Callithrix jacchus: one gene and its partners. The protein of the gene in region 1 interacts with the protein of each later gene in a biochemical or structural test. Links are inferred from orthologs where the notes say so. Each region holds a gene or a part of one and is shown in the gene's direction. Other genes may lie near its edges. The genes, in order: MAP3K7, USP29, NOD2, IKBKB, USP4 and TAB1.

Evidence for each region.
Region 2: the proteins of MAP3K7 (region 1) and USP29 form a complex in vitro, tested with the Homo sapiens proteins (2 studies listed by BioGRID). The link is inferred for Callithrix jacchus from reciprocal best matches to the Homo sapiens genes MAP3K7 and USP29.
Region 3: the proteins of MAP3K7 (region 1) and NOD2 form a complex in vitro, tested with the Homo sapiens proteins (2 studies listed by BioGRID). The link is inferred for Callithrix jacchus from reciprocal best matches to the Homo sapiens genes MAP3K7 and NOD2.
Region 4: of the proteins of MAP3K7 (region 1) and IKBKB, one has a biochemical effect on the other in vitro, tested with the Homo sapiens proteins (5 studies listed by BioGRID). The link is inferred for Callithrix jacchus from reciprocal best matches to the Homo sapiens genes MAP3K7 and IKBKB.
Region 5: of the proteins of MAP3K7 (region 1) and USP4, one has a biochemical effect on the other in vitro, tested with the Homo sapiens proteins (2 studies listed by BioGRID). The link is inferred for Callithrix jacchus from reciprocal best matches to the Homo sapiens genes MAP3K7 and USP4.
Region 6: of the proteins of MAP3K7 (region 1) and TAB1, one has a biochemical effect on the other in vitro, tested with the Homo sapiens proteins (4 studies listed by BioGRID and IntAct). The link is inferred for Callithrix jacchus from reciprocal best matches to the Homo sapiens genes MAP3K7 and TAB1.

The regions. Positions count from the first base shown.
Region 1 is NC_133505.1:96,646,175-96,649,674, reverse strand, and holds part of MAP3K7 (mitogen-activated protein kinase kinase kinase 7), read left to right. Parts: intron 1-2,730; coding exon 2,731-2,855; intron 2,856-3,500. UniProt on the Homo sapiens protein: Serine/threonine kinase which acts as an essential component of the MAP kinase signal transduction pathway. Plays an important role in the cascades of cellular responses evoked by changes in the environment.
Region 2 is NC_133523.1:49,865,579-49,869,299, forward strand, and holds the end of USP29 (ubiquitin carboxyl-terminal hydrolase 29), read left to right. Parts: coding exon 1-2,622; 3' UTR 2,623-3,221; downstream 3,222-3,721.
Region 3 is NC_133521.1:8,618,532-8,622,556, forward strand, and holds the start of NOD2 (nucleotide-binding oligomerization domain-containing protein 2), read left to right. Parts: upstream 1-1,225; 5' UTR 1,226-1,288; intron 1,289-4,025. UniProt on the Homo sapiens protein: Pattern recognition receptor (PRR) that detects bacterial peptidoglycan fragments and other danger signals and plays an important role in gastrointestinal immunity.
Region 4 is NC_133514.1:44,139,496-44,143,504, reverse strand, and holds the start of IKBKB (inhibitor of nuclear factor kappa-B kinase subunit beta), read left to right. Parts: upstream 1-1,209; 5' UTR 1,210-1,376; intron 1,377-1,470; exon of another isoform or gene 1,471-1,664; intron 1,665-2,014; 5' UTR 2,015-2,032; coding exon 2,033-2,137; intron 2,138-4,009.
Region 5 is NC_133516.1:31,939,775-31,943,834, reverse strand, and holds the start of USP4 (ubiquitin carboxyl-terminal hydrolase 4), read left to right. Parts: upstream 1-1,260; 5' UTR 1,261-1,289; coding exon 1,290-1,390; intron 1,391-4,060.
Region 6 is NC_133502.1:210,212,656-210,216,155, forward strand, and holds part of TAB1 (TGF-beta-activated kinase 1 and MAP3K7-binding protein 1), read left to right. Parts: intron 1-1,291; coding exon 1,292-1,428; intron 1,429-1,809; coding exon 1,810-1,963; intron 1,964-3,097; coding exon 3,098-3,184; intron 3,185-3,500. UniProt on the Homo sapiens protein: Key adapter protein that plays an essential role in JNK and NF-kappa-B activation and proinflammatory cytokines production in response to stimulation with TLRs and cytokines.

The DNA.
Region 1 (3,500 bases):
TTAAAGGACTAAAACTTTGGGGTTTTTTTATATATAGGTATTTGGTTAACGAAAACATACACATAAAACACATTGTTTACTTTTCTCTCTTTTTTTCTTTTATGCACCTGTGACAGAGTAAAAATAGTCTCCACATACCTTCTTTACTCTCCCCCAAGCTCCCACCCCAGCACATTAGTCTTTACAGAAGAGGTTTCCCTTAGGAAATCAGTACAGTCTTCAGTTATTTCATTGTCTTGATACTGGCTTAAAGCATTAAAACATCCCTTCTGGGTATAACTTGTCACTCTCAGGTCTAATCTGATATACTCTACATAGGTTCCAACTCTTAAAATCACTGTTCTTGCTAGTGTATCTTATCTCTACTCCTAAGCTTAAACTGATTTCTATTTCCCCAGGTCACTGATAAAATAATGATTAAGCTTTTACTTTTCCTGAGGCTATTATCTTAGTTACCTGCCGTAACTAATGAAGAAATCACTTAGCCTTTTTTCCTGGTTATGAATATTCAGTCGTCCATTTCCCACTGTATTAACAGAGTTGAATTATTAAAGGAGACTCAAGAGAATCACAGCTCTTAACCAGAACAAACTGCCAAATAATCCAAAGGTTATAGGCAAGCATCAGGTACAGCCAAAGCATTCTTTTCCCAAAAGAGCTTGAACACATCTGATGCAACTCCCAAAAGTATCTTTTTTCTCCTCATTACTAGGTGTTTTGGCTTTGGAATAAATGATTAGTTATTAAACAGTATATGGAGAAATAGCTTACGAAAGGAAGTCATTTCCATTTTCTAACATCTTTTACATTGCACTAATTACACAGCTTAACTACTATCCCCAATCTTCTACCCCATAAATTTTATGTTTGTTTAATCAACCTAGTTCAACCAGATATATCCTTCTAAAATCATTTATAGATAGAGATTCTCCTTTTGCTAGTAAATACAATTAACATATTTATAGAAGGTCTGGTCTAGGTCATTTATTCCAGGCCTCTCCATTATTAGATTCATCTTGCAAATTGTCTTTAAAGCCCCTGGTATACAAGTTGGACTTTAGAATCAGAATTGATTTCAATTCAGAAAGCACTGAGGAAAAGAAAATTCGTTGGAATGACTATGTTTTTGCATACAATTGGGTATACATGAATACCTGCTTATTGTCAGTGGAAAACCTTAGCGTCAGTGGAAAACCTACAGATTCTGTGGTCAGGAAGAGTTCCTCAGAATGGATCTAAGGAAGGTACCTGATGATCTAGGGAGATGTTTTATATACTATCAAGTTGTGCTTGTGCCCATATTTTATCTTTTACAAGTTTACTCACATGTACATTAGAAATTAATGTTTTTAGTCTTAACTGTGTGAAAGTAAGCCTACAAAGATACTTTAAGTTCAGATTTCAGTGAGCCCTGAATTTCATGTTCAAGGCTGGTGAACTTTTGAAGTCAAATAAAGGAGTACTAACATAAAAATCATTCAGGAAAATTATCTTGAATTATCAGAAATTATCTTGACTTCTTTTTTTTTTCTTTTTTTTTTTAGAGACAGGGTTTCACCATGTTGGTCAGGCTGGTCTTGAACGCCTGACTTCAGCCTTTCAAAGTGCTGGGATTACAAGCGTGAGCCACCGCACCCGGCCTTGATATCTTGAATATACCAGTATAAAACAAGGAAACCAGTTACAGAGTTCTTATCATTTTCTTGGGTAAAAAGTATAAGAGTTTGAACAAAACATTGAGATGGGGGTAAAATTTTTTTTTGTTGAACTACCTACAAAGGTAAACTGGATTTAGCATTCTTTTCACTGGAATGATTATGAGTCTTTTTGGTATTATGGAACTGTGAGTAGTAGTTTATCTGACTTATTTTAGTCACACTGGACTAAAAGAGAAGAAATTTCTAAATAACCTCTTCAGATATAAAAAGTTTTTAAAACTTAGAATTAAAATGAATTCCTATGTATTGCTACTGGATACTACTACAGTGTGATTGTGGAAATTATATTTGCACGTTCTATGTGAATAGAAATGGCCATTGCTATTTCTGTTTGTCATGAAAAGCAAAATCTTGTAAGTGTATGCTACTTGGTGATTGTGGTTGATTAATAGTGCACCTAGGAAAGTCAGAATCTTAAGTTCAGAAAATTTTCCAGAAATCTTTCATTAGGTTATTTAGCTGTAAGAGATTTTTATTCCTCCCACACATACATATTCTAAACATAAAAATTGTTTTGAGATTGAACATTTTTAGAAGTATCAAAATAGAGATTTAAATTAAGGACCATTTTTTTCCTTCTATATTAGCCTATTTTCTTTAATTAAATTACCTAGTGTTACTATTTTTTTAAGTAATACATATTTATGATTAAACTCCCATTTCAGGACACCATAATGTTGACCTACTAGAAGTCTTTTAAACCCCACATTTTATTTTGGCCAGAGAGAAGTATGGTCAGGAAAGATTATGGAGCTAGACATGAAGACATCAAAATGTGAGTCTGGCAGCCTTCCAAAGAGAGCTAGGTTATGGCCAATTAATTTCTGCTTATATTACTCCAAACTGTTAGGCTTTTATAGTGACCAAGTAAGTTGATCATTTCACAAAGTTGAATGATAACATTCATTTTGCTTAATCTTTTCCATTTCCACAAATGTCTCTTCTTTTATTGTAGAATTTTTTTTAATGTTTGGCCTTAACAATTTTTGATATTTTTGTTTTTTTAAAACAGCTTACTGCTGGTTGCAGGGGGGACAGTTCTAAAAATTTGTGATTTTGGTACAGCCTGTGACATTCAGACACACATGACCAATAACAAGGGGAGTGCTGCTTGGATGGCACCTGAAGTTTTTGAAGGTAAAATGGCAAAAGTATGGTATGTTTGATAATCTCTCTCATTCCTTGTGAATTCAATATGTGTTTATAGATTTTCCCCATTCCTGGGTTTTATTTCTGCATAATACATCATTTTAAAGTATACAATGAAGTCTAAGGAGGTATTAAATAGTGTTATGTCCTAAATTTTATAGTAAGATGTAAATCTTCTGTGCAGGTTCAAGCATATGTACAGTTGATCCTCATTATTCACCAATTTCATAATTGCAAAATTGCCTATTTGCTAACCTTTATTTGTAACCCCAGAATTAATACTCACAGTGCTTTCATGGTTATTTGCAGACAGTGCTTTCATGATTATTCGCAGACAGTGTAATTTTGAGTCATCTAACACATGTTTCTAGCTGAGGTTAAACAAGATAATGCTCTTCCATCTTGTTTCAGGTCTCATGCTATAAACAGCTGTCCTTTTTGTACTGTTTAGAGCCCTACCTTTTTCATTTTTGTGATTTTTGTTGGTAATTTTGCTATTTAAAATGGCCCTCAAGCGTAGTACTGCCTAAGTATAAGAAGGCTATGATGTGTCTTAACAGACGCTATACATGTGTTAGATTATCTTCATTTAGGCATGAGTGATAGCAATGTTGGCTATGAGTTCAATGTTAA
Region 2 (3,721 bases), on another chromosome or scaffold:
AAACTCACAAGAATTTTTCAGCTGAGTAATAACATTAGAAGTGTGGTCCTCATCCGTCGTAAAAAAAGGAAAAGTCACCTGCGTTTAACTCTGAAAAACAACGTGTTCCTGTTTATTGACAAATTATCCTACAAAGACGCTAAACAGTTGAATACGTTCCTGGACATAATCCATCAAAACAAATTTCAACAACCCACGAAACCTGACGACGACTGGAGCGTGTTGGAAAGTAGGGACGTGCCGAAGGAGATTGACAGAACTTCATTTTACATTTGTTACAAGCCAGGTTATGGAAAAGGAGGCAAGACACCTTTCCCTCAGAAGATGCCTTTGTTTATGTCAAAATCACCAGCATGTGTGAAAAAGGGATTAGTAGAAAGTCAAGGTGGGAAGAGGAAAGACACACTGTCATCTGACCTAGACATGAACGAGCACATTCTGAAGGAACATAACCTTGGATCAAATGAGAAATATAAGACAGATCCCTTGAAGTATACACAAAGCTATGGGAATGATCCATCGAGTTTAGAGGACTCGGAAAAAGGGAGAAGTTTGGAACCTGGGCCTCCATTCAACTCCAGTGGAAATCCTGACCTAGATGAGACTCTTCTTGCAATCCAGACTCTCGAGGCTGAACATGGTTTGACATTTCCATTAGAACCCGAGCACAGCCGGGATGACCCAAGATGCCACGAAGCCCAGGTGCCTCCTGACCCTCTCTCAGAGCAACCGCAGCAAGGCTTCCCCAACCTGGGAAACACCTGTTACATGAACGCAATTTTACAGTCGCTGTTTGCGATTCCGTCTTTCGCTGATGACTTACTCACTCAAGATGTCCCGTGGGAATATATTCCCTTTGAGGCTCTTCTTATGACCTTGACCCAGCTGCTTGCTTTGAAAGATTTCTGCAGTACGGAGATCAAGAAAGAATTACTTGGGAACGTGAAAAAAGTCATTTCGGCCGTCGCAGAAATATTTTCTGGCGACCTGCAGAATGACGCTCATGAGTTCTTAGGTCAATGTTTAGACCAGCTGAAAGAGGACATGGAGAACTTAAACGCCATTCTGAAGACCGGGAGAGGCCGTGGGGACGGAAACTCCTCTCCGCAACTGCATGTTGCTCACGCTGCCACCAGAGTCTTTGTTTGTCCCGTTGTTGCTAATTTTGAGTTTGAATTGCAACTCTCCATTATCTGCAAAGCCTGTGGTCATGCTGTTCTCAAGGTAGAACCTAATAATTACCTCTCCATCAACCTGCACCAAGAGACAAAAGCGCTTCCTACGTCCATTCAGGATTCTTTAGATCTTTTCTTCAGAGAAGAAGAGCTTGAATATAACTGTGAGATGTGTAAGCGCAAGAGTTGTGTTGCGATGCACACGCTCAGCCGGCTCTCCAGGGTCCTCATCGTTCATCTGAAGCGCTACAGCTTCAACGACGCTTGGTTGCTGGCGAAGAATAATGAGCAAGTTTATATCCCCAAATATTTAAGCTTATCTTCTTACTGCTACGAGGGCACCAAACAACCTCTTCCCTTGAGCAGTAACGCACCTTTGGGGAAAGGCGAAGTCCTGGACGTCTCTCGGGAGATGGTCTCTGAGAGCACCAGCCCATTAACAGCATCAATGAAGCTCACCTCGGAATCCAGTGACTCCCTGGTTCTACCCATGGAACCAGACAAGAATTCTGACCTTCAAAGATTCCAGAGAGGCTGTGGGGAAGCCAGCCAAGAGCACCGTCAGAGAGACCTGGAAAATGGCTCCACGCTAGAGTCAAAATTGGTCAACTTTGGAGATACGGCATCCGGTGAAAAGAAGTGTCCAGTGGCTGACTCACTGATGGATCAGGGAGACCTTTCTCTTCCTGTGATCTGTGAAGATGGCGGTGAGCCAATCAGCAGCCCGGACACAAGGCTTCTCGACTTCCACCTTCAAGAGATGCCTCAACATCCAGACCTTGAGAAGTGTGAGAACACCAACACATTTGTAGAGTTACATTTTGACAGCGTCACTGAGTCTACCGATAGCTCTTATGAGTGTAAGGAAAACAGGATTCCAGAAGGATCTCCAAGGATGTCTGAACAGCTCCAGCAGTGTATCGAGAAGAGCATCATAGAGGAACTTCTTCAGCAGGCACCACCTCCAGGTGTTCGGAAGCCAGATGCCCAGGAACATACAGAGGAGACCCTCAGTCTACCTACAGAAGCCAGACTTCAGAAGGCTGACCTGAATCACCTGGGGGCATTTGGTTCTGATAACCCAGGAGACAAAGACATTTTAGATACAGAGAACGCAAGAGACAAAGTCCAGGAACTGACGAGGAACACGAAGGTGGGGGATCCCCTCCAGGCCTACAGACTCATCAGTGTTGTCAGCCATATTGGGAGCTCCCCAAATTCAGGCCATTACATCAGCGATGCATATGACTTTCAGAAGCAGGCCTGGTTCACGTACAATGATCTGTGTGTATCAGAAATCTCAGAGACCGAAATGCAGGAGGCGAGGCTCCACTCTGGATATATCTTCTTTTACATGCACAGTGGGATTTTTGAGGAGCTGCTAAGAAAGGCAGAGAACTCTCGGCTGCTTAGCGCGCAGGCAGAGGTGATTCCTCAGGGGCAGTAAGATGACTCTTTATACAGACCTGCTTAACGACTCACTGGGTCTCACTTCCTCCACGCAAGGAGAATCCAGAATGAAGGAACAAGTATCTCAGGGTGAAAGCTCAATGAAAAACACTTATTTTGGGGGAATTTATCTAGATCCCAGAACTCAGGCCCATATGCATATGTTCCCTACAAGATTAGAATGATGCTTTTCATGTTTTGACATGATCGTTCTCTTTTTTTTAAAAAAAAAAAAAAAAGACAGGGTTTCACCATGTTGGTCAGGCTGGTCTTGAACTCCCGACCTCAGGTGATTCGCCCACCTTGGCCTCCAAAGTGCTTGGATTACAGGCGTGAGCCACCACGCCTGGCCGACACGATGGCTTTCAAAATGTTCTTCAACCAGCAACAGCAGCAGCTAGGGACCGATTAGAAATGCAGATTCTTGGGTCCCCTCCAGACCCACTGGCGCAGAAACAGGAGGTGTGGCTTAGCAATCTGATGGAGACTCAAGGGCTCCTGAAAGTTTGAAGAACACTGTTAACGCGTGGAGGGTCTTGGTGTATTTTTATCCTGTTGATATGAATTGTTTATGTCATATAAATGATTTTCACTGAATGCTTTGCCTTTCTTTATTTCGTCCCGCTGAACCTAGAGAAATTCCAGCAGAGAAATTCCAACAAATGCAGGCCCAAAGCCCTTCTGAGAGCGGGCCGGTTGGGATTCCAAAGAAAGAAGCACTAAACACTGGGGGGACCTGTCCAGAGCATTTATGAGGAGGAACTTAGTGCTGCAGTGTATCTTCAGGGGGATGGTGAGACAAAAAAGCATCGTCTACCTGCTGGGCATCGGCTCACACCTGTAATCCCAGCGTTTTGGGAGGCCAGGATGGGAGGACTGCCTGAACAGAGGAGTTCAAAACCAGCCTGGCAATATAGCAAGACCCTGTCTCCACCAAAATAACTTAGCCAGGCACGTCTCAGCTACTCAGGAAGCTGAGGTGGGAGGACCACTTGAGCCTGGAGTTCAAGGCTGCAGTGAGCTATGATTGCACTACTGCACTCCAGCCTGGGTGACAAAGACCCTGTTTAAAAAAAAAAAAAAAAGGAAGGGAGGAT
Region 3 (4,025 bases), on another chromosome or scaffold:
GTGGTGTGTGTGTTGGGAAGCAGTGTGTGCGTGGTGTGTGTGTTGGGAAGCAGTGTGTGTGTGGTGTGTGTTGGGAAGTGGGGTGTGTGTGTGTGTGTGTGTGTTGGAAGCGGTGTGTGTGTATATGTGTGTTGGGAAGCAGTGTGTGTGTGGTGTGTGTTGGGAAGCAGTGTGTGTGTGGTGTGTGTTGGGAAGTGGGGTGTGTGTGTGTGTGTGTGTGTTGGAAGCGGTGTGTGTGTATATGTGTGTTGGGAAGCAGTGTGTGCATGGTGTGTGTGTTGGGAAGCAGTGTGTGCGTGGTGTGTGTGTTGGGAAGCAGTGTGTGTGTGGTGTGTGTTGGGAAGCGGGGTGTGTGTGTGTGTGTGTGTTGGGAAGCGGGGTGTGTGTGTGTGTGTGTTGGAAGCGGTGTGTGTGTATATGTGTGTTGGGAAGCAGTGTGTGTGTGGTGTGTGTTGGGAAGCAGTGTGTGTGTGGTGTGTGTTGGGAAGTGGGGTGTGTGTGTGTGTGTGTGTGTTGGAAGCGGTGTGTGTGTATATGTGTGTTGGGAAGCAGTGTGTGCATGGTGTGTGTGTTGGGAAGCAGTGTGTGCGTGGTGTGTGTGTTGGGAAGCAGTGTGTGTGTGGTGTGTGTTGGGAAGCGGGGTGTGTGTGTGTGTGTGTGTGTTGGGAAGCGGGGTGTGTGTGTGTGTGTGTGTTGGAAGCGGTGTGTGTGTATATGTGTGTTGGGAAGCAGTGTGTGTGTGTGTGTGTGTTGGAAGCAGTGTGTGCGTGGTGTGTGTGTTGGGAAGCAGTGTGTGTGTGGTGTGTGTTGGGAAGCGGGGTGTGTGTGTGTGTGTGTGTTGGGAAGCGGGGTGTGTGTGTGTGTGTGTGTTGGAAGCGGTGTGTGTGTATATGTGTGTTGGGAAGCAGTGTGTGCGTGGTGTGTGTGTTGGGAAGCGGGTTGTTCTGAGGACTGTCCGGTTCCCTCCTGGTTGAAATGAGGCCCAGAAAGGGAGGCCTGCTGACCAGGGCACCCAGCCAGGACCGTCCAGCCCCGCAGACAGGCCCGGCCCCTTTCCTGCGCCCTCCCTCCCTGTCCCCTGTGAGCCTCGCCAGCCCTGGAGTGGGCGCTCTCGGGGCTGCGTGGCCTGGGACTGGAGCGGGTGCGGCCGTCCGGGCAGAGCAGGGGCGGGGTCCAGGCGGGGGTGGAGCCGAACGCCCGCGCAGACGGAGGCGCAGCCCAAGCCGGAGGTGGAGCCCGGAGTCGTGGCCCACAGCAGGCCTGGGAGTCCGGGCGCCGGCGGCTCGCGGTGAGTGCTGTTTCCTGGCGCGAGGCCTGTGCCTAGCGCCTGGGGGTGGGCTGCGGGAAGACTGTGGGTGTCCATGGTGCCGCCCCCAGGACTCGAACACTTGGCGTCCGTCCGAGCAGTCTAGCAGTCTTGGCTGCAGGGCTTGGAGAAGGGTTGCCTCGGTTTCTCCTGGGGGAGTCCCGGGTGTAGATGGGACATGAGAAGGAAAGGGGACATCTCCAGGTTGGGGAGGCTCCTGGCAGGAGTGGAAAGTCCTGAGGAGCCCGGGCTTCAGGTCTCTGAGGGCGCCATTCTTTTGAGTTCTTTCCTCTCTGTGGGACTCAGTTTCCTCATCTTCACCATGCCAGTGAGTGGTGTGAGAGGGTCTGCCCGGAGGATCCTACTGCTGCTGTCTGCACTTCTTAGGGGAATCTCCTGCCTCCTCCTTCTCCCTTGGTGGGTGTGAGATCTAAGTTCAAATCCATCCCTCCCCAGATAGCCCACACCAGGACCTGTGTGGCCACATCCCCCGGCTGTTTGCTCTCTGCTTCTCAAGTTGACGGAGCAGCTGTCTGGTCCTGCTTACATTCCAATGAACTGAAAAGCCCTCCACCCAATAGCCCTGCGGAGGGCCTCCTGAAGCTGCATGAGGGTTGGAGGCTGGACCCCCGCTTCCAAGTTTGCTTTTTCTGAGCCCTTGGGCTTCTTGCCATGGCCTTGGTTTTCCCATGGGCTGTGACTTGGCCTCCTCCAAGGTCCTTGTTCTACAGAGGGGGATCGCCTGCCCTGTCACCCTCCCCAACCCCTTAGTGAAGAAGACCAGAGTGACATCCTCACTGCCTGTACTTGCCTGTCCCAATCACTCAGCCATGGGGTTGCTGCAGCCCTTGAATTTGGCCTCGCAAGGTCCCTCTGCCTCTCTGCACCCTGGGATCAAGGCTGGAAGCATCCTCATCCAGCCCACCTCCCTCCAACCCAGTTCAGAAGCCCTCTGCAACACATGCCTGGTGGTGGGGAGCTTATTACTGATGAGGTGGCTTTTCAGTGTCTTACGGCTCTTGTTTCCTTTACCTAAAATCTGTGGCTTACAGATTTTGCACTTGGTTCCACATCTGTCTCCTGGAGCCATGCAGAGCACATCCATTCTTTCACCCATTCCAGCAGTCATCATTCATGCACTGAATGAGATGTGAGACTGAGCAATGGGGAAATCAGATTAAACTCCCTGCCCTCATGGAGTGCACATTCTGGAAAGGAATGGACAGCAATGAAAGAGGTAAATCTGTGGCATGGCAGGCAGTGGGAAGTGCTACGAGTAAAACAAAGCGGGGAAGCAGGATGGGGTGCTGGGGCTGGGTATTGCATTGTATATAGCACAGTTAGGGAAGGCTTCCCCAAGACCACGACAGCTGGGCAGTCATCAGGAGGCAAGGGCGAGCCTTGTGAGTATCTGTGCGGGCGGGTGGGGGGGCTTTGGCTTTTACTCTGAGCGCGGTGGGAGCCCTGGTTTGGAGCTGAGAAGTCACCTGCTCTGACTTGGGGTCTGGCAGGCCCATCCAGCTGTGGGGTGGAGAATGGATAGTGATGGGTGGACTAAGGGCAAAAGGAGAGCCTGGTGAGAGGATCAGTACATTGTTCCGGGGAGAGACCAAAGTGGCTTACACCATGGCCCACAGGTGGTTAAAAAAAATAGAAAAAAACCCCAGACCTTCAGATTTGGGATATATTTCAAAGGCTATGTCAATAGGATTTGGGGTGCAAGAGAAAGGTAGAATCAAGGATGATTCTGAGTTTTTGGCTCAAGCTTCTGGAGGTTTGAAGCTGCCGTGAACTGCAATGGGAGTTGCGACGGGGGAGATCAGGAGTTTGGTTTTGTGCTTGTCGTGTGAGCTGTCCATTAGGCACCAACGATGATTAAGCAGTTGGGAAAAGTTAAGGGCGGAGGTTGGAGTTGGAAATGAAACTGTGGGCATCGTCACCCTATAGCTGGTATTTAAAGCCGCAAGAGCAGGTGGCTTCATCTAGGAAGGGAGCACTATGGAGAAGAGAAGGGGTCCAGCCATTGAGCGCTGGGGCCCCCGGTGTTAGGAACCAGCCAGGAAGACAGAAAGAGTGAAAATGAGAGAGTTGGGGTGCCCCAAGGGGGAAGGAGGGAGCAATTATGACCAATGCCCCTGGTGGAGCAATTATGACCAATGCCCCTGGCAGAGCAAGCAGGCTGAGGGCTTAGGATTGAGCAATGGGAGGTCACTGGTGACCATGATCAAAACAGTCTGACTGGAGCTGGATGGGGAACTTGGGGGATGAGAAGGGATGGGAGGATTTGGGGACAGCAGTGCAGGCACAGACAAGGGGGCCTGCTATAAAGGAGGCAGAGAAATGGGATTGGAGCCAAATGAAGAAGAGGGGCGTCAAGAGAGGGCCTTACTTTTACAATGGAGGATTAGAGTGCATTGTTCACTGGTGGGGGAACTGGTCTTTTAAGGAGAGAAGCTCAGTGCTGGGGAGGGAGAATGGAGGATGGCTGTGGGAGGGTGTGGGGCTTGGCCCCAGCAGAGTCCCAGAAGGCTTGGGAAGTTGAGCTTCCTTGAGTTTCCCCTCCTTTTCTGTCTGCAAGGGGTCAGTGGGCTGAGATTTCAGCACTTAAGCCAAGCATTTGCTCTTGGCCCCAGAAAAACCAGGCTGGCTAAGGTCTCAGGAAGGAAGGAGGTGTCTGGGCTCAGGCCTGGGCCTGGGGTTTGGGGAGAGCCCATGCGGG
Region 4 (4,009 bases), on another chromosome or scaffold:
AGTTGCTAGGGTTTGAGTTTCAGCTCCTCTACGTAGCAGCCCTATGATTTTACCATAAAGGGTTTTCCTCTCTGTGCCTCGGTTTTCTCATTGGCAAAATGGAAATAATAATAATGCAGACCAGGCGCGGAGGCTCACGCATGTAATCCCAACACTTTGGGAGGCACGGGTGGGTGGATTCCTTAAGTCCAGGAGTTCGAGACCAGCCTGGGCAACACGATGAGTAAGACCCCACCAGGTATAGGAGCTGTGCACCTGTAGTCCCAGCTACTCAGGAGAATCACTTGAGCCCAGGAGTTGGAGGCTGCAGTGAGCTGTGATGACACCACTGCACTCCAGCCTGGGTGACAGAGCGAGACCCTGTCTCAATAATAATAATAATAATAATAATGATGCAGTATTGTCCAATTTATAGGGTTCCCCTGAGGATTGAATAAGGAAATCTGAGTACAGAGATTAAGAACAGCGCCCCGCACTGTGAAAGCACCCTATAGATGGGAGTTACTATTATCATCTTCAGATTCCTTTGATACTTTTTTCCTGCTTGAATAAAATCCAGTAACACGCACACACACCCCTCCTTTGTCCACTAATGTAATCCCATAAAACGGAGAAACTCAGTAGTGAGGGCATTCTGACTCCAAGCAGGAAAGAGATGAACGATGAACCTCAGGCTGAGCGCCTCGCGGTTTCCCGGCGTCACCGGGACTGAGGCTGCAGTTTGGCCTCACACTGCTGGGTCTCCTTTTCTTAAGGGCTAGACGGGGCTGTCACCTCTCAGGAGTCAGCTGTGATTGATCCTTCTCAGCTACAGGGGAGCGCCCGTAGGAGGGCAGGCGGCAATGGCAATTCTCACAAGCAGTCCCTAAAACATCCCAGCCGGGCGCGGGAAATTCCAACGAGGTGGAAGCCTAGGGGGCAGGGTGAGGAAATCCCCAGGCCGGGCCCAGAAACCGCTCCAGGTGGAAGTCACTTGTCCAAAGAGAACAGGGCGTAACGGGGGTCATTTCAGGGCTGTTCTTTTACATCGGTGAGCACAGTCTCCTTTTCCCTAGGGGTTTCTAGAGGCCACACGCGCCCCCACACCCCGCCCCCGGGGAGTCGCCTGGAGGTCTCGGGGAACGCCCAGCTAGCCCGGGGCGCTCGCAGCATCCGGACCTGGTCCGCCCCGCGCGGCCCCTTTAAGAGCGGCCACGGCCCACGTGCTCCGTGACATCAGAGCAGGAAGTGTTTGAGGAAGTCGAGCCACGCTGCCTGGGTTAAGAGTCTCGCATTTTAATGTTTTTAGGGGGCGTCAGAGCCCCGGGTTTGGCCGCCCCAGCCCCGCCTCCCCAGCCCCGGAGATCCCGCCCCCTGCCCCGCGTCCCCGCCGACAGGTGAGTCCCCCCGGCGGGCGCGGCCCAGGTGCCACCTGCAGGCCCCGCCGCCCTGCCTGGGCGCGCTCCCCACCGCCCCGCTCCCATCAGGCCCGGAAGACCCCTCTGTGCCGCTCGGAAGTCGCAGCTTGCGGACGGGGGAGCGTTTCACTTGTGGGGGATGAAGTTTGGGAAGCCGGGAGAAACAGCTCTGGCAGGGGTGGCTCCTTGGGGGTGGGTGGCTTTGAGAGAAACCCGCGATTTATGGGGATGTTATAAAGACACACGTGACCGAGGGGACGCTCAGAAGTAGGTTCTGTCCCTGCTAGCTCGGGCAGAAGGTGGGCAGGCCCGGGGGCCCCTGGTGGAGTCAGTTAGGGATTCCCTCGCTAGAGCAAGGGCGTGGGCATCGCCTCCCTAGGTGGCTTGCTTTCTTGCTTGCTGCCACAGCAACCGGGATGGGGGAGGGTAAGAGGGACAAAAGTTTGCCACAAAGTTTGGACAAACCAAACACATTGTAAATGGTAAAAAGCCAGTGTATTTTTTTTCTCTTCTATACAAGAGCAGTGATATCTCTTGCCTTCTCCAGCCCTTTGAGCTCCTTTTTTTTTTTTTTTCTTAATCCTAACCTTTTATCCCCCACCCCAAATTGCTTACAGAGTTAGCACGACATCAGTATGAGCTGGTCACCTTCCCTGACAACCCAGACGTGTGGGACCTGGGAAATGAAAGAGCGCCTTGGGACAGGGGGATTTGGAAATGTCATCCGATGGCACAATCAGGTAGGCCCTCCTCTGTGCAGCCTCGGGAGGGGCGGGGAACCAGGCTTCCTCCTCATTGCCTATACCTTCTCTGTTCCTAATGGGACAAGGACTCGCTTTTGGCCTTGGTCATCTTGGGACAGTGAGTAGGGGGACTGGGAAGAGGGCTTCAGAACTTCTGAGCTGACTCTAGGATAGTGGTCTCCAAGTTTTATCGACTATGTCACCTAAATAGCAAAAAAAAAAAAAAAAAAAGTTAAGCTCTTAGTCTGTATTATACATATCTATGGTAACAGTGGAATATCATGTACTAATATATACTGATATTATATGTTATAAAACATACAGAAATAGGAAAATTTAAAGGATGAGAGTAAATAAATAGTTTTAAATATTTTAATGGCTTGAGACCAGGAGTTCAAGACCTCCAGCCTGAGCAACATAGCAAGACCTCATCTCTACGAAGTTTTAAAAATTAGGCAGCCATGGTGCATACCTGTAATCCCAGTTGGAGGCTGATGTGGGAGGATTGTTTGCCCAGGAGTTTGAGCCTGTAGTGACCTATGATTGTGCCACTGCACTCTAGCCTGGGCAACAGAGTGAGACCTTGTCTCAAAACAATTTTTAAAAAATTATTTAAAAGGCTGGGCATGGTGGCACACCCCTGTAATCCCAGCACTTTGGGAGGCTGAGGCTGGTGGATCACTTGAGGTGAGGAGTTCAGACCAGCCTGGCTAACATGGTGAAACTCCATGTTTACTAAAAATACAAAATTAGCTGGGCATGGTGGCATGCACCTGTAATTCTGGCTACTCGAAGGTGGAGTCAGGAGAATCACTTGAAGGAGGCAGAGGTTGCAGTGAGCTGAGATAGTGCCATTGCATTCCAGCCTGGGCGACAGAATGAGACCCTGTCTCAAAAAAAAAATTTTTCTTTGAAATATTTGCTGACTATGATGTCTTCCAGTATTTCTTGCAATACTGCACAGCACAAAATAAGCAGATCCACATGAAAGTGAGAATTTCATTTAGAATGATGATGAAAATCCGTATTTCAAATAATTAAAATTTTTTTTTTAATTTTGTAGAGAGATGGGGGTCTTGCTATGTTACCCAGGTTGGTTTCAAACTCCCATCCTCAAGCAGTCTTCCCGCCTTTTCCTCCCAAAATGTTAGGATTACAGGCCTGAGCCTCACGGCACCTGGCCTTAGCTGAGGTTTTTAAAAATTTTTTGTAGTGATGGGGGTCTAACAATGTTGTCCAGCTAGTCTAGAACTCCTGTCCTCAAGTGATCTTTTTGCCTTGTCCTCTCAAAGTGCCAGGATTATAGGCATGAGTTGTACCTGGCCTGTTTTTAATTTTTAATTGACACATAATTGTACATATTTATGGGGCACAGTACAATGTGATATTTTGATGCATATATAATGTATAATGATCAAGTCGGGGTAATTGGCATATTCATCACTTGAAACATCCTTTCTTTTTGTTGGAAACTGTCAAAATTCTTCTGGGTATTTTGAAATATACAATTATTCTTTTTTGTTTTTTGGAGACAGTTTTGCTCTGTTGCCCAGGCTGGAATTCAGTGGTGCGATCTCGGCTCACTGCAACTTCTGCCTCTTGAGTTAAAGCAATTCTCTGCGTCAGCCTCCTGAGTACCTGGGATTACAGTCCCACACCACCATGCCCAGCTAATTTTTATATTTTAGTAGAGATGGGTTTTCACCATGTTGGCCAGGCTGGTCTCAAACTCCTGACCTCAGGTGATCTGCCCACCTTGGCTGCCCAAAGTGCTGGGATTATAGGCATGAGCCACTGTGCCTGGCCTGAAATATACAATGAATTTTTATTCACTGCAGTCACCCTGTTGTTCTATAGAATACTAGAATT
Region 5 (4,060 bases), on another chromosome or scaffold:
CCTCAACCACAAGGGCTCAAGCGATCCTCCCACCTCACCCTCCGGAGTAGCTGGGACCACAGATGCACGCCACTGCCCGGCTAATTTTTGTATTTTTTGTAGAGACGGGATTTCGCCATGTTGCCGAGGTTGGTTTCGAATTCCTGGGCTCAAGCATTTCTCCCGCCTCAGCCTCCCAAAGTGCTGGGATTACAGGCTTGAACCACTGCACCCGGCCTGGTTCTCCCCCTTTAATGGCACTTACCACATACTGCTAGGCACTGAGGTTATTTCCGAAACATCTCTTCTCTACTAGGTTGTATGAGGACAGGAACCAGATCTTACTTTTCTCTGAGGGCAAGAACTGTTAAGAGAGTGAATGGAGACTCATCTAGGCCAACTGTCTGACTTCCTCTTTCCTCTGGATTTATTTCTCCCTCCAGGAGGAGGGCTGTGTGTTTGTGTGAGCGGGTCCCCTGGCAAACAGTGTTCAGGACAGGTTTTATCTATCTTGTTCAAGGAACTAAGATGCTTGAGTACCCAATATGGAGTATCTCTCCTTCCCTCCTTGCTATCGCCCCTCTGCGGCTGCTTGGCAAGTAGCTCTGTATGAAGAGCTGACGGAATTCTGTGGTGGGCGAGGTGGCTCTGGCGTCTAGATTGTTTAAGGCGACTGTTAATCACTACAGAACACCGTTGCGTCTTGGTCCCAAGGCGCTGTGCACAGGGCACTTCCCGAAATCACTGTAGGGCCGCTGGGTAGAGCTCCGATCCCATGTTTGGGTAGCTGACTCGGCTAAGGTCTCCAGCTGAAAACGGAATGGCAGGGGTGAGAATGAGCAGACCTAGCAACGGGGCTTCTCGCACCTGGCGTGCGTTTATTTAGGACCAGGATAACCTCGAAGGCCGGGCTGAGGTGCCGGACTGGTCGTGGGCTTGCTGTCTGACTCCCTGAGATCGGCGGGCTGGACAGAGCTTGGGAGTGTAACGCCGTCCTGAGCGGAGGAAGGGAAGCCCCACGGCTGCACAGCGGGCGGCCAAGACGCGGCCAGCAGTGCGGGAGGAAGTAAAGGCTGCTGCTCCCCGCCTGCCCCTCTCCCGTCTGCCTTTCCGCGCCACTGTTAGCAGCAGAGGAAGACGGCGTGAGAGGGGAGGAGGGAAAAAAAGACAACAGCCGCAGGAACCGCAGGCCTGGGCGCGACGTGAGGCACGGGCGTGCGTGCGTGCGTACGTGCGTGCGTGGGCGCGGTCTATAGCACGCCCGGCGTGGGACGGATGTCCGGGCCGGCTGGGCCGGGGCCGCGGACGAGATGGCGGAAGGTGGAGGATGTGGTGAGCGACCGGATGCGGAGACTCAAAAGTCCGAGCTTGGAGCCTTAATGAGGACCACACTCCAACGCGGGGCGCAGTGGTGAGCACCGGCTCACCTGTGCGGAGCTAGGGGCTGAGTGTCAGGCCCTTAGGCCAGCCCCCCTTTTCTCGGCTAGAGTAGGGATCGGGCGGGGATGGTGTTTAGTGGCCCTGAAAGAGTAGCCTGACACCCGCCCCTCAGGAGAACTCCAGGATCAGCTCTGCGAGAGCGCAGGCGAGAGCTCGGGGTCTTGTCTGCTCTTTGGGAGCCCCAGGGGGCAGGCCTGGCGGGGCCAAGGGGAAGGATCTGGAGAAGGGGAGTGTTGGCGGGCCCCTGAGAGTGGGAAGAGCCCTTTACCATCGAGGACTCGCCGTGTGACCTTGTGCGAAGGTGTCACAGACCTTATTCCTCCCTGTTAGAACCAGGATAACAATATTTGGCTCACTGCCCTCAGTGGGTTGAGACGACTATCAGAAGTAGATACTTTGTAACTTGTAAACTGCCAACAGATGTCAAGGTCAGAAGCTGAACAAGTGTCTGAGAACCCCAGCTTATTTTGGTAGCAAATGTCAGAAACATTTGTGGCAGCAGTATCTCGGAGTGGGAGAGGAGGATAGCCTAGGTCCTGGAGCTAGACAGAAGATAAGAGTCTAGAATTTAGAAAACCAAGGCTGAGTTGTGAGCAGTCTTAATAGATTGTTTGGTAGAGGGGACAATACTTTATACTACTGGAGAGATTCCTGGGTGATATTATTGCGTGGGAGTAGAAAACTAGGGCTAGACTTTGCAATGAGTATGATTGTTACCTATCTTTAAGAAACCATCTGCAGAGGAATTGAGCGGGAGAATAGAAAAATTGGGTTTAGGAGGAGTACAGATACAGCTTATGTATTCACCTTGAGCTAGCCAGTTTGTGAAAGGCAGAGCAATCAGAGGTACTTTTTAAATTAACCTCTATAGGGCTGGTAAAGGTACTTTTTAAGTTAACCTCTATAGGGCTCCTCAGCAGAAACAGGACGTTTAAGATACACTAAAATCACACAGTAAAATTGTGTGGAAGATATTGCTCAAGCGATTTGGAAGAAAAATAGCATTTTAGAGTTGGATGTATTTATGGATCCTTGTGACCTCTGGGAAGCTGCCTGACTTCACATGTTTGTTATAAAATTTGAAGGTTGCACCAATATAATTGTTGATGCTTTGTTGCCCCACAGAGATTTTTCCCTCTTTCTGTTTTAATTGTAAAACCGCATAACGATACTTTAAACATATAAACAAGTCTTGTGCAGTGGCTCATGCCTGTAATCCCAGTACTTTGGGAGGCTGAGGTGGGAGGATCACTTGAGGCCAGGAGTTCAAGACCAGCCTGGGCAACATAGCAAGACCTAGTCTCTACAAAATAAAAATAAAAAATAAATTAGCTGGGTGTGGTGGTATGTGCCTGTAGTCACAGCTACTCAGAGGCTAAGGCAGGAGGATCACTTGAGCCCAGGAGTTTGAAGCTACGGAGAGCTATGATTATGCCACTGCACGCTAGCCTGGGTGACCCTCTCTCTAAGGAAATAAATAGATAGATAGATAGATAGTTAGGTAGATAGATAGATAGATAGATAGATAAAATACCAGATTTGCTTACATTTAAGTACAAAAGTGGTAAGTTGAATATGAAGCACAACTTAATGCTTTTGACAAGATGAACATGCCTAAGCACTATTATATGTACATGTGTATGTGTATATATATGTACACACGTTACATACTTTTTTTTTTGAGACAGTGTTTTATTACTGGAGTGCAGTGGTGTGATCTCAGCTCACTGCAGCTTCTGTCTTCCAGGTTCAAGTGATTCTTGTGCCTCAGCCTCCTAAGCAGCTGGGACTACAGGCATGCGCCACCATGCCCAGCTAATTTTTGTATTTTTAGTAGAGACGGGGTTTTGCCATGTTGCCCAGGCTGATCTTGAACTCCTGAGCTCAAGTGGTTCACCCTCCTCAGCCTCCCAAAGTGCTGGGATTACAAGTGTGAGCCACCACGCCTGGCCTTGTGTGTACATTTTTGGATCTCATTTGGCCCTTAAGGGAAGACTAACGTGGGTGGTGTTTCTTTCTTTTTTTTTTTTTGAGACAGAGTCTCGCTCTGTCGCCAGGCTGGAATGCAGTGGCGCGATCTTGGTTCACTGCAACCTCCACCTCCCTGGTTCAAGCGATTCTCTTGCCTTAGCCTCCTGAGTGGCTGGGACTACAGGTGCACCCTATCACGCCCGGCAAATTTTTGTATTTTTAGTAGATACGGGGTTTTACCATGTTGGCCAGGATGGTCTTGATCTCTTGACCTTGTGATCTGCCCACTTCAGCCTCCCAAAGTGCTGGGATTACAGGTGTGAGCCACTGCACCCAGCCTAGTTGTTTAGTGTTGTTTATGTCAAGCAAAACAGTATAACCAAACTGTCTGCTTGGACAGGGACCTCTATACAGATTATGAAATTAATGACTTGTTTATTAACAAACATGATTTTACCCATAGAAAGACTCCATTTAGGCTGGGCGCAGTGGCTCATGCCTGTAATCCCAGCACTTTGGGATGCCAAGGCAGGAGGATCACTGAGGTCAGGAGTTTGAGACTAGCTTGGCCAACATGGTGAAACCCCATCTCTACTAAAAATACAAAAAAATTAGCTGGGCATGGTGGCACATGCCCGGAATCCCAGCTACTTGGGAGGCTGAGGCAAGA
Region 6 (3,500 bases), on another chromosome or scaffold:
CCCTCCTCAGCTTCCCAAAGTGCCGGGGTTGCAGGTGTGAGCCACTGCACCCAGCCAATACAAATTTTATCTTCCTTGAAATTGCTGTGGTTCTCCCAGTTATTCCAGTTTGCTCTAGTTCCGCATGATGGTCTTGGGAGTGCCCTTGTAAACAGGGCACACTTCTCAGGTGGGAGGCCAGATCTAGGGCAAGAAATGGCACCTGGGCCTTGCATCAAAGTTGTTCCTGGGCCTTAAAAAAATACAGATGCTCAGGGTGTACCGTAGGGAGATTGGGAAATTCAGCATTTGTGTTTGGGCCGGGGTCGGGGCCTGGACCCTGTGAGTGTGTTTAAAGCTGTGCATTGATTATGCTGAACAGCCTGGTTTGAGATCCTCTACGGTGGAGTGGGTGTTGCAAACAGACTAGGGTGCTGTAATCAGGGTACAGTCGGGGTACATGAGAGGGCCATCAGCCAGTCCTGGGGAGGGTCATCCTGAAGGAAGACCACCTGGAGGTGGTGACTCCTGAGCCAGAGAGTCCCGAAGGACCTGGAGAATTGTGAGGCAAGGAGGAGGGTGTTCACGTGGAGGCAAAGAGCAGGGGATGGACAGGCCTGCAGGCATTTGGGACTGGGGGAGAAGGATGTGGCAGGGGAGATGGGAGGGGATGTCGGGGTGGCCTGAGGATGTCTTACAAACTAGCTCATAAACTCCGACTTATAAGCCAGTCTCAGTCACTCTCCCTGGCACTTGGAGGCCCCAGTGTCAGAGAGAGTGACAAGTCAGAGTTTCTCTAGGGTGAGTCTTAGGTCACCTGAAAGCATCACTCGTGGGGAGCGGCCTGTACTTCAGATGTCCTGGGTCCTGCCCAGATCAGTCATTCTGAGGGTGGGGCCTGCAGCCTGCAGTTTCAACCAGTGCCCAAGGGATTCCTTTGCAGTGTGCATTTGGAGCCAGTGCAGTAAGAGGTGCAGGCCCCAAAGAGTTTCCTGTCAAGAGTTTGAGACCTTTGTATGTGTTTCACTAGGTTTCATAACAGCTCACTCCTGGAGGCCATTGCTGCACCTTGCCTTTGGAATGCTGGAGTCTTTCCGTTTTCCTGGGGAACTAGTTTGTAGACTAGCCATAAAAACAGCAAACCCTTCTGCAGGTGTCTGTTCATACAAACATCTTTGTTTTCCCAAGGGAAGTGGAACCCTCTGTGTAGGGCTGCCGGCCTGCTAGGTTTTTGTTGCAGAAGAAAAAGATGAAGTGGGATCTACGCTGCAGAAGCAGTGGTGCCTCACGGCTTCCTGGTGTCCTTCCCCAGGAGCAGCAGCCAAGCTGGACAGACGACCTTCCGCTCTGCCACCTCTCTGGGGTTGGCTCAGCCTCCAACCGAAGCTACTCTGCTGATGGCAAGGGCACTGAGAGCCACCCGCCAGAGGACAGCTGGCTCAAGTTCAGGTGTGTGTGCCAGCATTTTGGTCCTGGACCCAGGGAGTTGGTGAGTTTGCAAGGAAAGACATTGACTTTGCAGCTTTCTCATATGAGCTTGCCAGTGAGATGTGGCCTGTGGGAGGTGGCCTCTGCTGCTGCCCTTTATACTGCTGGACTTTAGACCAGCCAAGGGTTTCCTCTGATGGGGTAGTGTGAGCATGGGGAGGAGGGTATCCCAGAAGGTCATAGCCACCAGAGTGAAATGATGCCCAAAGCAGGGGGACCCAGGTCGGTGCCTGAAGCTGCAGCCGCTGTAGCTTTAGCCTCCCCCAATTCCTTTCCCTTTCTCCTTCCACCTCCGTGTGAGACCCTGGTCTTAGTCCTCCCTCTGCCCTCTCCCACTGCCAGGAGTGAGAACAACTGCTTCCTGTATGGGGTCTTCAACGGCTACGATGGCAACCGGGTGACCAACTTCGTGGCCCAGCGGCTGTCCGCGGAGCTCCTCCTGGGCCAGCTGAATGTTGAGCATGCTGAGGCCGACGTGCGGCGCGTGCTGCTGCAGGTAATGGTGCTGGGGCTGGCAGTAACCTGGCTCCATCGTGTCCCCCACCCCCAGGGCCTGGGCCCTGCACGTCTAGCACGTTGCCAGGGTTGGTGTAAAGATCCTGCCGGCCCCTTCACCGTGATAGAGAAGCAGCTCCCGGCATAGGGGCCCCTTCTCTAGGAGTCCAGGACCAGCCAGCAAGCAGCAGGCCTTCAGTGGCTAGCAGAGCTGACAGGGGAGGTACTGCTGGAGACGGGGGGATTTAGGGATGTGAGCATGGAGAGAGGTGTCAAGTAGGAGCAGGGCAAGGCCTGGTCGGAATGGGGTCATTCGGAGCTACCCATTTCTTTCTCATGTAGCCAGGTGCTCAGCCTCCAGGTGCAGGAAGCATATCTGGGCATTCAGGGAAGACCTTGCCTCCCCTTTTTGATGGGGTGCTGCCATCATTCGCTGGTTCCACCTTTCTGCTTGCACTGTTGGGAATTTTCCTCCTGGCATCTCCTTTCAGGAGCATGTCTCAGGCCCATTTTAGATGAGAAGATGGGCTTCTGTTCCCAGAGAACAGTGGTGCCAGCCTTTTCCTCCCCTTCATGGCCTCAGGCTCCATGGCCAGTGATTGTCAGCAGATCTCACACCCAGGGGGAGTTGTCAGTGTCACCAGTGTCCCAGGGCCAGCAGAGTTTGACAGAAGCCTCCCAGGAAGAAGTCGTAGTAATCATGGGAGCTGTCATAGTCCTGGCAGTTTCTCTGAGCAGGTGCCATGCTGAGTGCCAGGCTGGACTTACCCTCGGAACAACACTTAACCTCTGTTGTGTGAGACTGAGGTGTCCAGAGGTCACACCAGCTGGGCCTACTCCAAGCCTTTGCTCTTAGCCTCCGCACTGTCTGCTGCCTCCAAGCCCTCTGAGTGCCGCCTCTGTTGGCTACGCACCCCTATGGGGCTGAAGGGCTTTGTCAAAGACACGGATCTGCAAGAAGCAGCCAGTGCCTTGCAGTGCCGGGCTGGAGGCAAAACCGACATGCGGAAAGCCCCATCACAGGAGGACCTGCAGTGAATACAGTGAAGCTGTTGCTGTTCTTCATAGGGGGCATTTTAGCACCAGTGACAGTGGTGTTTTGAACCAGTCTTTGCCCTGTCCTGTGTCCCTCCAGGCCTTCGATGTGGTAGAGAGGAGCTTCCTGGAGTCCATTGACGATGCCTTGGCTGAGAAGGCAAGCCTCCAGTCGCAACTGCCAGAGGTAATTTCCCCAGCCCACACCCAGGGGAGTCAAGTCCAGGCCCAGCTTTGCAAGAAGCATGGACTTAGCTACTTTGTCTTGACATTACTGGGCCAGAGCAGCAGGAGTTAGGGAGCAGTTTCTCATGGGGAACACTGGTGGGTGGCCACAGGTGAGGGACCTTACCACCCTGCTATGGGCAGCTGCACACTAAAGCTCAGCATTGGCTGGGCAGTGGTGGGCATGAGGAAAGCTTTTCGCAGTCCTTTGACCTGAATGGGTCCCCACCCTTGTCACCCACCTGCTCACATCGCCCGCCCACTGGCATCTGTAGCGC